2 linked regions of the Canis lupus familiaris genome follow. The protein of the gene in region 1 binds, or shares a complex with, the protein of each later gene. Links are inferred from orthologs where the notes say so. Each region holds a gene or a part of one and is shown in the gene's direction. Other genes may lie near its edges.

What was found. The genes of interacting proteins can lie anywhere in the genome.
Region 2: the proteins of KIDINS220 (region 1) and XPR1 are in contact, whole or in part, in a cryo-EM structure (PDB 9JXQ), measured with the Homo sapiens proteins. The link is inferred for Canis lupus familiaris from reciprocal best matches to the Homo sapiens genes KIDINS220 and XPR1. Residues at the interface, in NP_065789.1 of Homo sapiens: Glu36, Cys37, Gln39, Asp70, Trp72, Met102, Trp105, Trp110, Tyr113, Lys114, Val138, Ile142, Trp143, Gly146, Arg147, Ser166, Asp167, Lys168, Tyr169, Gly170, Trp176, Arg179, Lys180, Gln198, Glu199, Gly200, Ala201, Ser203, Lys234, Arg267; in NP_004727.2 of Homo sapiens: Leu95, Lys189, Lys190, Gln193, Glu197, Ala200, Asn204, Glu205, Ala636, Asp637, Asp638, Leu641, Leu642, Gln644, Met645, Met646, Asp647, Gln648, Asp649, Asp650, Val652, Arg653, Asn654, Arg655.

What each region holds. Positions count from the first base shown.
Region 1 is NC_049238.1:5,992,871-5,996,142, reverse strand, and holds the end of KIDINS220 (kinase D-interacting substrate of 220 kDa), read left to right. Parts: coding exon 1-887; 3' UTR 888-2,596; downstream 2,597-3,272. UniProt on the Homo sapiens protein: Promotes a prolonged MAP-kinase signaling by neurotrophins through activation of a Rap1-dependent mechanism. Provides a docking site for the CRKL-C3G complex, resulting in Rap1-dependent sustained ERK activation.
Region 2 is NC_049228.1:14,194,198-14,198,145, forward strand, and holds part of XPR1 (xenotropic and polytropic retrovirus receptor 1), read left to right. Parts: intron 1-3,463; coding exon 3,464-3,635; intron 3,636-3,948. UniProt on the Homo sapiens protein: Inorganic ion transporter that mediates phosphate ion export across plasma membrane.

The sequences.
Region 1 (3,272 bases):
CTGAAGAAGATGAGAAATCTGATCAGTCAGGCAGTAAGCTTCTCCCAGGCAAGAAGTCTTCAGAAAGGTCAAGTCTCTTCCAGACAGATTTGAAGCTTAAGGGAAGTGGATTGCGCTATCAAAAACTTCCAAGTGATGAGGATGAATCTGGGACAGAAGAATCAGATAATACTCCACTGCTCAAAGATGATAAAGATAAAAAAGTTGAAGGGAAAGTAGAAAGAGTATCAAAGTCTCCAGAACACAGCGCTGAGCCGATTAGAACCTTCATTAAAGCAAAAGAATATTTGTCAGATGCCCTCCTTGACAAAAAGGACTCATCTGATTCAGGAGTGAGATCCAGCGAAAGTTCTCCCAATCACTCTCTTCACAATGAGGGGGCTGATGATTCCCAGCTTGAAAAGGCAAATCTCATTGAGCTTGAAGATGATAGCCACAGTGGAAAAAGGGGAATACCACATAGCTTGAGTGGCCTACAAGATCCAATTATAGCTCGGATGTCCATTTGTTCCGAAGACAAGAAAAGCCCTTCTGAATGTAGCTTGATAGCCAGCAGTCCTGAAGAAAATTGGCCAGCGTGTCAAAAAGCCTACAACCTGAATCGAACACCCAGTACTGTGACCCTGAACAACAACAGTGCGCCAGCTAACAGATCCAATCAGAATTTTGATGACATGGAAGGAATGAGGGAGACTTCCCAAGTCATTCTGAGGCCTGGTTCCAGTTCCAACCCAACTGCTATTCAGAATGAAAACCTAAAAAGCATGACGCATAAGCGAAGCCAACGTTCAAGTTACACAAGGCTTTCCAAGGATTCTTCAGAGCTCCATGCAGTGGCCTCTTCTGATAGTACAGGCTTTGGAGAGGAAAGAGAAAGCATTCTTTGAGAGAAACAAGCAAAAGCAGAATAGTATTACTATACCCCTATGACAAAATTGACCTGAGTTTATAATGAGTCCATCCATGTGCGTCATCTTTGTATGTTTCATTCACAAATAATGAATGGAAAGGTCTTTGGTAAAAGAAACACACTATACAACAAAGGAAAGTATAAGAAAGGGTGGTTTATTAATCAGCTTCCACTGTCTTTTTAATTAGGTAAAAACTCACTATTGTTATTGTACCTTTAATTGGCATATGACCCCCGCAAAATTTTTTGAGACAAGATCTGAGTATAAAGATAAGTCAGAAATATTTTCTTAGATGGAAAGGGTGTGAAAATAGAAAGGTAGAGACTCTCTCTTTGTACAACATTCACTTGTCAAATATTCAAAGGAAGACATGGTGTTAGGTGAACTAGAATCAAATTTTGCTCTTAGAGGGTAACAGATCAAAGTTTATAGGTTATGGAGTAGTCCAGAGACTAAATGCTCTATAAATTGAGAACCAATGTTGTATATAATAGACAAATTGTTTAACAAGGGCTTTAAAAATTGTTAAGAAGATGAATGAATAGTACTCAAAATGAAGCCCCAGTGATGAGACCTTTATGAGCTGCTAGGAGAATGGTTGTGGGGAGGGACCAAGAACCTCTTTAGGACCTGGATGCTCTCCTCCAAATCCTAGACCTGGCTACACGTACCAGCTTGAGAACCTGGTCTCTTCTGTGACTCTTTTAAATGGTGTGCCCAAGTTTCTTAGCCTACCAATGAGGAAAAACATGAATTCTTTCTCTGGAGAATTAGAAAGACATGGATAATAATAGGATATAATAAATATTCATGGACAAAAGAATGAGGAAATAATTATATCAGAAAGATCAGTGTCACTTGACAAATGACAAGGAAATATTAAATTAGGTAAAATTAAATTATTGCCCTCTATACCAGGGTAGAGTATATCTGTCTACTTCAACTATTCCAAAATTAGCATGCTGACCCTGGGGGAGGACCATAAGAAAGGGTATACTTCTCTAAAAAGTTTAAAAATGTAACAAAGCAAGAGTAAGAAAGCAGATAGAACTGATGAGATTTTCCATTTATTGTTAGCAGGGTTAAGAGAATGAGCACATTTAAGTATCATATGGACTAGAAGTGGACCCTGTAATCATGCATTGAATTTTTTTGTTGTTTTAGTATAGGTTATTTATGTAGAATTAATTTTGGCAGTGTATCCTCAGTCACAGATAAGATCATAGATGATGAGATCATAGAATGTGCAATTACCCAAATTTAGTGTTACATTTGTGATGGTTTTCACTTAATAGATTTTTATTAATATGATGAATAAATTATTTAGTTGACCAGTCAGTGCACTAAATAGTTGCTGTTTTGGGTTTCATTGCTTTGATGTTTGAGTATAATCTAACATTTCCTTAAAGTTTTATTTCGCATGACTTTAACAAATGTTTTTAACCAATTTAAAAAAGGCAGGATGTTATTGACATATATTGAACTGTTAACATTTTAGTATTTATAGTGCTTTCATTTGCAATATTGTATAATTAGTAATTATTTCAGAGGCAATATTTTGTTCTCTTTCCGGTGAGTAGATGCAGCCTATTATTGTAGTACATTCTTTACACTGTTTGTGAAGTTAATACTAGAGTATTAAGTGTACAAATAGATTTAGAAAACAATAAAAAAATTGCATGTTATTCTGACTCATGAATTTTTATTCACTACAGCGATGATTCACATTTTGATTACAAATAAAAGAGTAATTTGTGTGTTTGTTTTGTCGTACGTGTGTACAGTTTGTGAAAAATGTTCAGGTTCATGTAGCAGTCACACAGCTGGCTGTTTGCTGAGCTGCCCCTCTAGTCTTTTGGAGAGAGCATGGCTCCCAGGTCCTTGTGGCTAAATGGTGCTGTACCGCAGCATTAGTGCCCAACAGCATGACTCTGTACTGTGCATTTCTGTAGCTACAAGAAGTAGGTTGTCCGGATATCGATTTAATTATTGTATGAGCATTATGGAAAAGTTTTCTTTCTCCTCCTGCTACAGAAATTGACAAGCCAGATGGCTTATTGAGTCACACCATCATTCCTTTGAATCTGTGTGTCTATGTGTGCGTGTATGTGTATCTATTTATACTATATAGCTCAGTCTGATCCTCACATATACAAAACTCTGCTTTAAGCTGGGTAGAAAATGATAGGAAAGAAAATTGGTGCTTTAATCTTGCTAATCTTACTTCAATTGTGTATCACTTAGAGTTTTACCGTATTTTATAAGCCATTTTACTTTCACCATAAGCCACAGATAGTTCTGTTCATTGAACAGAACATTAAGCCCAGTCACTCACCTTGGACATGTGGAGGGTACATATGA
Region 2 (3,948 bases), on another chromosome or scaffold:
TCCAATAGTGAAATGATTTTGCAAATTAATAATAAATTCGTGAACAACTTAAGTACTTTTTACAAATTATTTAACCAGCTATGATAACATGTAGAACTCTATGAATTTCTTTTTCTTTTTTTTTTAAGAGGTGGTGAAACTATTCTTTTCCTGTAAATTGATAGTCAGCTATTTTGATTTTACAAAAGATTAGTTCTCTAAAATCAGCAAGAATATCTTACCAGAAAGCTTTAACTTGAGAAGCTGACTTGGATAATAATAAATTTATTTATAATAAATTCCATTTCTTCTTCTACTTTACCTATTTCTTAATGATCTCAAAATCCTGCAGTCTCAGCATTAGGATATAGAATTTCTTGGAAAAATAGTAGCTGCATTTTTTTTGTGATAGTGTAAGATAGCATGGGGAGGGGACTTCTGCTTACTCCTAAATTAAACCAGCTCTATTTTCAAAATTAATCAAGAATGCTCTTCTGTAATTATTTCTTGGGTTATGAATTACAACTAATAATAAAGTGAAGATTAGTGATTCAATTGACTAGTCTCTTTACATACTTTTAGAATTCTTATAATTACTATCTTACCTTTTTTTCTACCTTAGGAAGTATACTACCATGAAAACTGTAGTTTTAATTTCTTTTTTCCTTTTGTATGGCCCTTAAGTTTAGCAGAATGTTTTTGTTCTTAGCAATACATTTTCTGTATCTAGCATTGCTTAAATTTTTATCTGAAGACATGTAATACGGCTTTCCTATTAAAAAGCAGTAAGCACACAGCAAGTAAAAAGCCACTTATGTTCTAGTACAGGTTAAGTATTCATAGCAATCAGGAAAAGAAAATGGCCCAGATTTCTTTGATCTTTTTTCCCGCAAAGCTGATTATTATTTATTTGTATTTCTTATTTCCTCCAGTAGGATTTTTATCACAAATTGAGAATATCCCTCTTTTCCTCCATCATTAAGTATTAATAATTAAAAGAGCAAATCATTTCCATTAAGTATAGCACCACTAGCCTAACTTTGGGTCTAAATGTAGAACTTAGATGTGCAAGAGTATTTTGAAAAAAAAAAGTATGCAGTCACCTTTTATACATTTTGTCATCATTTAGAAAACATGCTTTTTAGAGGATTTTTTTTTAAGACACAAGAAAAATTTGAAGTTTTTTTAAAATTTAAACTAAAACTAAATCATATCCAGTTAGTACAATATTAGATTACCTTTTTATTTTGAGATTGTCATTTTATTGCTAGAATTTGTGGAGTTTTAAAACTTGCATAAAAATGTGGTATTCTTGTTACAAGGAAATAACCTTAAGATTATAAATATATAAGATTATAAATACCTATTGTCTCTTGCTTCCATTATTGTGAAATCTCTATAAAGTTGTTTTGAAACATAGTTTGAAGGACTCAGAAAACTCAGATGTTAATATGACTGTATTGCAATAACAGAATATTATCATTGTGTACATTGTGTTAAGTGAACATTTCCCCAATGCATCCTTCTCTGTTTAAATAGTAAGCTATGATTCATGCATGACCAGTTAGTCTTATTAGCAGAATGATTCCCCATTCAGTAGACATTTATCAATGCATCTGCTATGTGTTAGTAAATGAGGACTTACTGATGGAGTAGGTTGACAGTGATGATATAATAAGGAACAAGAGAATAGTAAAATGTACCATCAGAAGCAGTGCAGTGCAGAAAGAAGCATTGTGGTTTGTTATATTTGTAATAACATTTGTATACAGGAAAAATGTTGCTTATAGAGCATTTTAATATTAATTGACCAGTAGGTCTTACTGAGAAAACTTAACCTGAGACTTCTTTCTAGTGAATTAACAAAAATATTTCCACCCTAGTTATGTTTCTCTGATACAGCTTTTTAAAAAGTTTCATTATAAGTAAGGTACATTTCCTTCTTTTTTTTCTTTAATTTTTAGTGAAAAAGAACAAATCACCTGACCATAGTGGTAGGCACTGGATGACACTTATATCCATATTTAAATTCAAATTTATGTAATTTACATGCCATACACCTCCCCAAAAAAAGCTTTAAAAATTTATTATAAATTTATTTATTTTGATACTTACATGTCAAATTAGTAGTTTGTTTGCATTAATGATATAGCTTTTCTCTCTGGCTTATTGAAAGAGCAAGAGAATGATCAAGAAACTGAGCCATGGCCTCAAAATATATCAGCTCCAGAAAACACCGCAAAACCTTTACTATGCCCTGCAGATATCTGGTCTAACTTCCAAAGCCACAACCCAATTCCTTTCATAGATAGTTGATATCCAGGATGAATTCATAATATAGCCATTTATCTCCCTCAAATAATAAAGAGAAATGTTTACAGAACAAATAGAATCAGCCAAGTCTGAGGGGAAAGAACCATTAGTCTCCCATGCTGAATATGTCTGTTAAATGAATATAGCTAGGTGGCAAGAGAGCTGTAGATTTAGACTTATTTTCTTAAAACTGCTGCTCAGTGAGAATTCTTTGTTTTAGGAGTTCATTTTTGCCTGTTTAAGATAGAAAGGATCTGACAGGGTGAGGATTAAAGCTGCCTTCATTCCATCTTCACTTTCCTCAGGGCCTCTCAAGGCATTCTGCACAATTGGAGCCGGTTTCTGATGATTACATTAGTATCTAAGTTTTCCTCTCTGCAATGCCAGATTTCACTTTGCAGTGCAAAACAGTCTTCCACAGAATAGGTCAGGATGAGTTTGTTGTAGGTCTTCTGTAAAATGGGGATATGAATAGTACCAGGCTCATAAAATGGATTATGAAAAATACATTATGAGAAAAATATACAGCACAGATCAATGCTCAGTACTTTTAATATGAATTCATTTAACATCATTTTTATAACAGTGGGATATGGACTGATTTTTGTGGCATAATTTCAAGACAAATACCATTATTACCATGGCATTAGTGAAATGAAAGTGACTTTGGTTAGAGAATAGGCAGGCATGCCTCAGGTGATGTACCACCCTTCCTTTCCTATCTCTTGTAGGCAAAAGCTTTGTATTCAGTTAGTGAGATGGGAGGAGATTCCAGAAATTATCATAGCACGAGTCTCTAGCAAAATTTACCCTAGAGACTAACACTAGACATCCTCTCTGTGCTTCTACCTTCTGCCACCCTCTGCTTTCAGCTTCAACTCTTCCCACCCTCTCTGCTTTCTATTTTCTAACTATAGCTATGTCTGCCTTCTTTACCCTGCTTTAATTTCCTTTCTTGGTTATCTATTCAACTCATTCCCTTCACTACTAATTCTCAACCTAGTCACTGTTGCCAGGCTCCCGCCCTGTGTTTGTGATTGGTTTATTGGTTTTCATTTTATCAGCTAAAGTAATCATGCTGCATGATCAGACACAAATTAGAGAAATTTAATATGAATTTTCTTGTTTCTGTTTTTTTTTTTTTTTTTTTTTTCTTTTTTCTTTCTCCCAGTTTCGAGTATTTACAGCCCCCTTCCATAAGGTAGGCTTTGCTGATTTCTGGCTGGCCGATCAGCTGAACAGCCTGTCAGTGATACTGATGGACCTGGAATATATGATCTGCTTCTACAGTTTTGAGCTCAAATGGGATGAAAGTGGGGGCCTGTTGCCAAATAATTCAGAAGGTAGGGTATGAATGTGCATCCATACCCTAAACTGCCAGTGTAAACCAAGAAATACTGGGAATGAGAAATTTAAGATCATGGTGAAAACTCATCCAATGATATTACAAACTTAATTAAATGTACTTGGCACTCTTTTAGCAGTCTCTTTATCTGATATAATTTGGCTCTTAAATTATATGCTATGATTTTAGCCATACATTTGCCAAGAGATTTGCAACTTACACTTAGAAGAATTCTAAATCTAAAAAAAAAAAAAGTTCTAGTACATTGGTAGTTATATCACAAATGTTTTAGTGCCAGCAGTTTCCATCAC